2 linked regions of the Arabidopsis thaliana genome follow. The protein of the gene in region 2 interacts with the protein of the main gene of each other region in a pairwise test. Each region holds a gene or a part of one and is shown on either strand. Other genes may lie near its edges.

The links.
Region 1: the proteins of AT5G14020 (region 2) and SSI2 interact in a protein complementation assay, tested with the Arabidopsis thaliana proteins (one large-scale study listed by BioGRID).

Annotation. Positions count from the first base shown.
Region 1 is NC_003071.7:18,118,284-18,123,439, reverse strand, and holds SSI2 (Plant stearoyl-acyl-carrier-protein desaturase family protein), read right to left. Parts: upstream 3,568-5,156; 5' UTR 3,334-3,567; coding exon 3,194-3,333; coding exon of another isoform or gene 3,190-3,193; intron 2,087-3,189; coding exon 1,582-2,086; intron 1,506-1,581; coding exon 945-1,505; 3' UTR 551-944; downstream 1-550. Other genes in the region: AT2G43720 (FAM136A-like protein (DUF842)), read right to left, coding at 25-147; AT2G43700 (Concanavalin A-like lectin protein kinase family protein), read right to left, coding at 4,941-5,156.
Region 2 is NC_003076.8:4,522,870-4,527,690, forward strand, and holds AT5G14020 (Endosomal targeting BRO1-like domain-containing protein), read right to left. Parts: upstream 3,299-4,821; 5' UTR 2,951-3,298; coding exon 2,746-2,950; intron 2,671-2,745; coding exon 2,596-2,670; intron 2,518-2,595; coding exon 2,456-2,517; intron 2,357-2,455; coding exon 2,206-2,356; intron 2,125-2,205; coding exon 2,028-2,124; intron 1,953-2,027; coding exon 1,886-1,952; intron 1,793-1,885; coding exon 1,694-1,792; intron 1,571-1,693; coding exon 1,478-1,570; coding exon of another isoform or gene 1,448-1,477; exon of another isoform or gene 1,368-1,447; coding exon 1,213-1,367; coding exon of another isoform or gene 1,170-1,212; exon of another isoform or gene 1,145-1,169; coding exon 1,040-1,144; intron 958-1,039; coding exon 861-957; 3' UTR 552-860; downstream 1-551. Other genes in the region: AT5G14030 (translocon-associated protein beta (TRAPB) family protein), read left to right, coding at 4,009-4,190, 4,499-4,597, 4,682-4,790.

The DNA.
Region 1 (5,156 bases), on a different chromosome or scaffold from region 2:
AGAGAGAGAGAGAAAGAGACGAACTTGAAGGGTGAAATTGATGTGGTCTTGTACTGGAGAAAGAAGAGACTGCGACGCAGAACTGACTTCGTTAACTTTCTTTCTAATCCTCTCTCTCACCATCTTCTCCTCCGCCGTTTGATCCATTTTTTCCCGGCGAGTTGATTTATTAGTTCAACTTTGCTCTCACAATGATTCACTCGAAAAAGTTTGGAATCTTTACTTGCAAAAAAATTAGACAAAAAAAGACTGAAAAAGAGAACATTTTTTTACTCCTTCCCCAAGTTCTCATAGGTAGCTTCAACCGCCTCCCATCTCTGAAACACTACCTTATTTGGGCCTAGCCTCTTTTAAATTGGGCCCATTTACGAACATTATCATCTCCTTTAGTCTGGCTCAAGCATGAAGTTACCTCAACAGCCGTCTCTGTTTCTTCTTTCAAAATCTATCAACTTCTCACTTTTTTTTTGTCAAGGGTTTCATTATTATTGACTTTACATTAATTTATAGAGATAAGCATTAAGCATGATCGTCAAACATTGACCAATTAGTTAAATGTAAACTGACATTGAAGATATTCAATTATTCATCATGATCATCCATCAAAATTGCTAAAAAGCCACATGAGTTGTTTGTCGAGAAACAGGGGAAAAAACAGAGAGACAAAACAAAACTAACCTGAACTTAAACAAAACTCCACAGAGAAGAGGAAGACTGAGTACAGACCATACTTAAACTGTTTTAACTACTACAAGTGTGCTAACGGACCAAAGACCAAACATATAGTGACTGGGAAAAACAAAGCTACTAAATCACTGCATCTCAACTTTGTAACTAGACCCACCAACATTATCAGAAAACCATAGTAATCTACACCAATTTTAAGAGCAGACAGATGAAATGAGGAACCGGGAGGATAGGTTTTTGTTTTTGTCTTTGTCCTTTTAGAGCTGCACTTCTCTGTCGTGTATCCAACTGAAAGGAATCTTGGGTCCTTTCTTGGCTCTTGCTTGAGCTCTCTCATCCAATCTCTTGATCCTTGGAGCCAACCCGCATAAATAGTCTTGTGCTTTGTTTCCTTCACCTGAAAGCCCGGTTAAGTCCTGGATTTTCCACCTACCAACCAGAAACTCAAGAATGTCTGCATAGTCTTTGGCGGTGTAAACACCGAGCCTCTGAGCCACGGAAGAGAAGTTGTCAAAGAGGTTGTCGTTGCGCCCATCATACATCAAGTGAGCAGGCATTGAGATTTTCTTTCTCATCATGTCTGCAAAAGCCATGACAGTACCATCAGGATCAATCTCAAAGAGCTTTTCAACTATCTTGGTGTATGCTGTTTCATGACGCTTCTCGTCTGCAGCTATTGTGCCACATATTTGGGCTAGTTTGATGTCCCCGTGCTCTTTGGCTTGGCGGGCTGTGTTTCCGTGAGAGATGAATGTCGCTCTTTCTTGGAATGACGTATAGATGAAGCCAAGGTAGGGGTTATTCTCTGTCCGCGGATCCTATGAAAGATAAGTTAAAGCGATTAGGTAGTTATATTAACCAAGAAATCATGATAATTGCCTGAAACTATCTCACCATTCCAGATCCAATCAAGTACTGAATGGTCTTTTCGATCTGCCTCATGTCAACACGACCAGACAAGTAAAGGTATTTATTCAGAAGATCGCCATGTCGGTTTTCTTCTGCAGTCCAAGCTCTGGTCCAAATAGCCCATGAAGTAGGACTAGCACCTGTTTCATCCCTAACTCCATCCAAAGTGTTCAACATAGTTTGATAGGTCGGAAGTGCTTCTTCTGTGATCATGTCCCCCACCAAAACAACAAAGTAATCATCAGGGAGCTCTCTAGCCCTCTCTCTTAACTCTCTTACCTGATCTTCAAACCCATCTGATGCAGGGTCAGGCAAGAAATCCTGGGGTTGCCAAGACTTCTCCACATCCTTGAGGTGAATCAGAAGGTTCTCCTCGGCCCAGTTTTCCATAGATTTGAAGATCTCGATCTTTTGAGGTGGCATGGAGTGCAAGACTTGAACATGCACTTCCCTGGGTGGCGTAAATGGTTTCTTCAAACTCTCAACCTCCCTGCATTAACCAGAAAATAAGTATCATTAGCATTTAATTATGCTCCATTGAAATTACCAGTCAAGGTCTCATCTCTGATACACAACTGAAACAAGAACACAGTTTATTGTATTTAGATAAGCATTCATGTCTACATTTCCAAATCAACTAATTCTATGTTTGAAGCGAAACAATTTCACAATTCATGACTAGCAAACACTTAGAGATGGTTAACCGTAAGACAATATTTTATATTTGCATTCATGGATTGGTCTTGCAGTTCAATATGAAGCAAAAAAGAAAGATTGTGAAAGAAACAAATGTAGTGACTACTGATCAGACAAAGACAAGATAAAGAGCCAAATGTCTTCAAAACAGAGAAAGAATGAATAATAAATTACAGAAAAGTGTGAAAATTTTGGACGCAAACTAAAGAGAGAAGCCACGAAGTACGCATGCATAGAGAAAGGCCACGAAGCGTGATATCCAACGTAATGTCTTTGAAGAAAGATAAACAGACGTAAACTGATACGTTCAAGAATCTCTTGTCAATACAAAAGAGAAAACTCATCAAATGAGTAAGAAACAAGTGGATAAACATTTCACCATTAAAAATTACTAAACCAGAGAAAACAAAACAAAACTTTCTCTTTGACTAAGAAGCTTTCCTCAATGTCTGTTAAGTCTTAACCAATCTAAAGATCATTATACCATAAAGAAGATAACTAGTGTTAATCTTAACTAACAACCAATCAACGAGCAATCTACATAATCTGATGCAGAATAAATATGGTAAAGGCAACGATTTGATAGATGGGGCAATCTCAGAGAAACGTGAGAATAATAGGGAACAATCAACAAACATCAGATTCAATGAAAAAGAGCATTAATGAATCACCTGAGAACAGAGGATGGCCCATTCTTATAAACCCAGATTAAAAGAACGTACTTTTATTGAAATCACACTCGAGATTAAGCAAATGTAAGCAAATAACACTGAACAAAATCGAGAAAACGTAGATCCAATATCGATAAGAACAAGCAAAACCCAGAACACAGTAAACAAAGATGAAACAGAGAGAATCGAAAGTAGATAAGAGAGACGATGATGGAGAGAAAGAGACTGACTTGGGGCCGGAGCTGAGAGCCGGAGAAGAAGAAGCGAGGCAGAGGAACTTGGGAGATCTGAAAGAAGGAGTTGGCGGACGAGTCGAGGAAGGGAATTTGTAAGGCTGAGATGCCACCAAAGGGTTAAACTTTAGAGCCATTTCTGGATATGATGAATGAATCCTTCTTTTCTACAGAGCTAGAGCTCTCCCTCAATCTCTATCTCTCGGTCTGAGTTTGGTTCTTCTGGCTTTTTCTCTCAGGTTTAGTTTCGTCCACAGAAAGAGAATGCTTATGCACAGCGTTGAGCGTAGCAAGCAATAAGAGAGACGAAAATAAATAATTCTTTTTTTTGTTAAAAAAATTATTCTAATAAGGAAAATGACGTCATATTGTCATTTGTGTGTGAAAAACAAGGTGACAAATTATAAAAATAAATAAATTGGGTATCTGTTCTAAAATACCCTTGAGATGCTTCAATTTTGACACTATTGTTCTTACATATGTCGGTAAAATATTTGTATCAAATAATTATTAGTCAACAATAATGATCAATGATACATCAAAACATCGAGTAGCTAAGTAGCAGTATACTAAATATTAATATAGTTGAGAAAAAGTTGCAAGAAAAAAAAGGGATACATCTTGAAAAGAATTGTTGATTAAAAATTCTTTTATTGAGTTGAATAGTAAAGTTGAAAAAATTGATTACTTTTGAGCACCTATGTCAAAGATGATTATGATTCATGCTTAGTCTCTTTCACTCATGACTTGTGCTAATTGTTAGATGACTCTCCTATATGTGTGATAATTTGGTATTAGATCTATGAAAATTGATGAGCAATGAGAAGGGGTAAAAAGGTCAAAACAAAATATAAAGTGTTTATATTAATTTATGTGAGTTTTGTAATAATCGACGTACTCGGGCGTGAGAATCCACGTAAAAGCCAAATAAGTTTGAAGCATGAAAGAGACAGAGAGGGGACAAGTGGCATAGGATCTCCACGTGGATGTCCCACTTGGCATATGAAAACTCTATAAACCGTACATTGGGTTTAATGGTTTTTTGCATTTTAGCATCATTCGATACTTTTCTGCCAAGTTTAGCTAGCTCAACGTTTTGAGTAATTTGATAGCACAACGTTTTCGGTTTTTCATTGAGACCATGACAACAAATTTAAACTTATTCTTTGTTTTCGTTCCATCACATTTAAGTGTAAACATTAATGCTTGTTTAACATCTCTTTCGGTGATTAACATTAATCAATGGAGTATATACTTCGATTAACATCTCTTTCAGTCATAAATCATAAGTGTGTGTAAACATCCCCATTGGTGTTCACCATACGTTTGTGTAAACATTAGATCTCTTAAAAATATCCAATTTATCCAATAAGTTAGCACACAGAAGAAATATGTAGACTTTTCATAGCTGAAAAACACAACAAGTACTACAACATAAAAGTAAACACAAACGCATACTTTTCAGGTCATGTGTAATTATTCCACCGCCGATATAAGTATAAACAGAAATCAAAACGATACATTCAATACAATCACCAAAATAAAGATATTTATCAAGCAAACACCGTCACATTTTTAGATTTCTCACCAAACCTCGACCATCACTTTTTACCGTCCGACGGAAGTCATCGCTTCCGTGATGGTCAAGTGTCCTTTCTGACTCCTTTGTCATCAATCGAAAACATAAAATATTTACAAACAAACATGTCATATATCATTTCACGACCGAACTCAGCATCACGTCTCAGCGTCCCCGGGAGGTAAAAGGTTCCGTTAACGTCAAGGTACCAATGGACCCTTGTGATGTCAAAACACCAAGTACACTCTCAGATGTCTCAGACCACATTCTGACCTTCTCTGCTTTGACTATATCGAGTAGATTATCTGGAAGCTGCAGATCACCACCCAAGATCTGGACCACCTTAGACATGTCTGGCCTAATTGCTACAGCCTGGTGCGA
Region 2 (4,821 bases):
TGCTACCTTTTTTGGATATTACTTATGACGATGATGATGATCGTTTCGATTTTAAGTTTCTGATGATACTTTTATCTTTCATGGATGATGCATTTTTGGAAGAACAAAAAAAACAGCAGATTTTGATGAATTAACGATCATCACCGTTACGAGTGATAATCGGAATGTTTTTGCGTTTTATCATTCATCGCCGTCACCTTAATTGGGAGATTAAAAAATCCGATCATGTCTGTGTCGGAGATCATTAGCACTACCGCCGTCAAAATCCCTTACCGCCTCTACAAAGTTGGTACGTGCGGAATCCAACATCTCATCATCATCCCACACGTGACGTTATTGTTATTCTGCTTTTTCCGCTTTTTTCCAAATTAAGACTACTAAACTGCGTGCCGTTTCCAAGCGCCTCACACAACAACCACTTCTTTTATTGTACGTGTGGAATCGAACATGTCATCATCACTTACACGTGACTAACTCACGTGACGTTGCGGTTATCCTGCTGTTTCCAATTTAAAATGCGGGCCGTTTTTTAGCTCCTCACACAACAACATTTCTTCTCCAACATAGCTAAACGCTTCCTTTATTAATTAGCAGCTGTTTTTTTTCTTTCTCTTCTAGTCCTTCCAAATTCTTTATCAAGGAAGATAAGTAATCACCCAGATATTACATTACTCTATACTCAAGTATCAGATTTTGTCTGACAAGAATACAAAATATTACATTACAATTATAAGTGGTAAAATACCCAAAGAATATGTGTAGAGAGAGTGCTTCTTTCTCAACGATCAAGGTCATCATCATCAACATGAGTAGCTAGTAGTCAAGAACTCAAGATGTTCTCTAAGCAAATGGGTTTGGTTTCATGAGGAAGAGACATCCTCTATTTCAGGCAGTTCAAAGTCGTCGGGTCTCAATGACAACTGAAAGTCTGGAAGCTCTGGCAAACACTGCATTGCCCTGTGGTTTTATCATATCATCACCTATCTTGTTTGATTCGTTAAAACAAACGCAAAAAAAGAAAACACTCTTAACGACTTACTTTTCTTCTTCTTCAAGCAAGTATCCATATGTCTGCGACTTTCTAAAAGCAACTTCTGGAATCTTCTGGCTCAAATGCTTCATAACACCCCACATAGGAGGAGCCCTGATAGATACAAAATAATTCTGAATCATTCATAATTCACATGTAGGATATCATACAACAACACAAACCTTGTGACAGGAGGAGCTAAGCAGAAGCTAAGACAGGCTTTTTTGCTTTCTCCTAGGATCTCTGCAGCTGCAAGGAAACAACACACAGCGCTCAAGTGACAAGCCGGCTCACTTCCCTTGTCTGTTACCAGTCCATGGTAGTAGTATGCTGCAGCCTGTTAAGAAAAAAGCAGAACATAATAGAGAGATATATTTTATGAAAGAACAATAGAGATGAATATATATCGGATCACTCTCAACAATAGCTTACATACACATACAATACCTTTGCTTCCAGAAACTTCCAGTAGATAAACCGGAGAAGTTTCTTGGCGCATCCATGGCTAACTGCTTCACAACTAGACAAGCAGTGATATGCCTGAAATGATAATGAGATCATTTTATAGCAAATTAATAATTAAAACAGAGAAAAGACATATGATTGCCCCGAAAGCATGCCACAGTTATAAGAAGCTGAAGATTGTTAAACTATGAGGAGGACCTGAGTGAAGTAGATGACTTGCTCACATGCAATTCTCCTCTTCACAGACAATGTTGCTTTCTGACTATCAACTGCTAATCCAAGTTGAATCTCAGTTCCCTGCAGTGAGATTCAACCAAACTTACAAATTGAAAACATATATACAAGATTCAGGTTTAGGAGTCACAGTTTCAAAGTAAGCATGTGTGTAACCTGGCCTAGTGCTTGTATAGAGAGAGTTTGTAATACACTTTCCTGCATATCATCTGGCAACTTACTCCTGCATACATATAGCAAATTTTCAGATATGTAAGTATTAATGTGATCCTAGAATTTATGTATTTGTGCTTCATACTTTATATCATGAGGAAGTTGAGTCAGAATCTCTCGGACGCAGAACTCCAAGTATCCAGATGCCTTGAGCAGCAAGTCAACCGCATCTCTCCTGCAATCTGTTTGAAAGTGACAGGTTAATTAGTTTTTTGTAAACACAATAAATTAAAATAAAAGTGTGAAAGTCAACGAGGCCACACCAGTGGAGACCACACGGACGCCATTGCCAGAACCAGAAGCATAGCAATCCTTTGGAATCATGAGAGAGTTAGCTTCAGTCAATGCCAAAGCAGCCATCATGTGGATCACTATCAACATCTCCATCCAAAGGTTTGTGCAACATATCTCTGCCTGTATACACCCTTCACATTGTTAAGATTTTAATGATACTAGAACAAACAAAATGAATATCCTTAGGATCAGCTTAATTTAAGCAAAAACCGAACTTACTCGTCGACCATCGCCAAGGGTCCTCCATTTGAGCTCTACGCAGCCCTCCATTCCATCTTTACCTGTAGAGTTAAATATTCTAATATCACCATTTGAATATACTAAACTGTTTAAGTTAATCAAAACTTGCAAACACGAACTTTTCTTGATAAGACCGGATAGAAGTGACAAGTACTCCTCCAAAGCTGTACGCAACTCAGAGATGGCTGAACCCCCTGCAGTAGAAAAGATGGAACCTTATGTCTTGACACGCAAGAAAAGAGGAAGAAGTTGGTCTAATTTCTCTATACCTGTGTCCTCAGCTACCAACTCAATCTGATTTCTTAAACATGTCAACCGATTGATGGTTGTCTTGGGAGAAACACCTTTGAGTTGGCGCTGAAGATCAGACTGAACAGGAACACGGAACTGTAGAACAAACACTACAGATTCTTGAATGATCCTCTTCTTGTTCTTCCTTCCCACAACAGCAATAGTAGATTGAGCACACCCCATGCTCTCTTTCTCTCTCTCTCTCTCTCTGCTATGATCTTTTGCTCACAAAATCATCCTACACAACATTGACATATATATATGTCAAAATAAGGATGTTTTGGAACAACCTGAAGCAGATAGATCCGGATTAATTTTGAAGCTCTAAGTAAAATATAAAAAGAACAATCTGGAAGAGAGAATCTCAGAGAGCTAACCAGAAGAGATAAGTAAGCATGTGATGATGGGAAGAGAAGATTTACTCAGGTTTCAGAGTTCGATGCAAATCCCTCCACATGCTCTTATATTCAACGATAGATATACGTGATTTAGTTAACCAACAAAGGAAAATCACATGCCTTTCGGTTTAATCCAAGTTTTAATTATGTTTCTTACGGGTAGCTGTGAATTCTTATTCTATGTCCCCACCCACTTGCCTACTTTTTATTGGCTCTCCTGTTTTAGTTTTAGTACTTCCTTCCTCGTTGACTTCTTTCCTTAACTTTCCCGCCACCTTGATTAATTGAATCAAATCAACTTTATCAGTTTTTACCCTCTTTTCTTACTCCAACCAAAAGATTGTTAGAAATGAAAATGAGATTATGGTAACAAAACCTCCATTGATTCGAGTCAATATGTCTTTTGAATGATATGAATCGTTGGCTATTACATCTTAAGTAGACTTTATAATTAGACGAGATAATTAATAGACAAAGTCATCTATGATTATAAAAGTATTAGAGAATATTTGGATCCAATCGAAATGTGGTGTGGGAAAAGAAACATGTTAGATTGTGGCAGGAGACAGGCTGTGTTATCTTCATTGTTCTACTGCAAGTGCAAACACACTTCCCTTCTTTAATTTGGACGGTATATTAATACACTTTATTATTAGAATGGGCTTTTATAAGTAGGCCCATTATCAGGTGAAAAACAATTGGGCCCATCATTGACTTTTTTTGTTAATGGGTGGTGGTGGTGGTGATTAATATCGTCGTCGGAGGTTTCTTGAGCTGAAGAAAACATTCGTAGATCTATTTCCGCATCTGCTTAAACACCTACATCGTCGTAGATCGCAAACCATGGCCGTCGCTGTAGCTAAGCTTCTGATCTCCGCCATGGCGGTTTTCATGCTTGTTTCTGCTTCGTTCGCGACCTCGGAAGTGCCGTTCATGGTGGTTCACAAGAAAGCCACTCTCAACAGGCTCAAATCTGGCGCCGAACGCGTCTCCGTTTCCTACGACATCTATAACCAAGGATCCTCGTTAGTTCTCTATCCTTCATCTAGTTATTTCCCGAATCCGTTTGATTTCTCCATTTTCATTTCCGATCCGTGTTAATTTCTGATTGCATGGAGAGATTGGTCAATGTAGAATTAGGAGATTATGCTTGAGCTATCATTAGATCTACCGTATGCGTATCAGTTAAACGAAACGCCATTTGATCTGATCTCATTGTTTATCGGAATTTTGGATTTGGTTTGTGAATTTTGTATCTGCCGGCTACGATGACTTTGAGATTTTTAATGAATGTCAGCTAAAAGCGTCAGATATTTGTGGTGTTTGCTCTCAGGTCGGCGTATGATGTGACTCTGACAGATAATAGCTGGGATAAAAAGACTTTTGAAGTTGTTAATGGAAACACTTCAAAATCATGGGAAAGACTTGATGCGTGAGTTTCTTCCTCAATCATAAAATCTTATATTGGCCTGCTTTAGCTTTTACTCTCGTCACTAATCTAATATTTGCTGTGCAGAGGAGGTATTCTGTCTCATTCTATCGAATTGGAGGCCAAGGTTAAAGGAGTCTTCTACGGTGCTCCTGCTGTCGTTACTTTCCGCATCCCCACTAAGCCAGCTCTTCAGGTTTGCCATTTTTAAGCTCCCTTCATTCTAG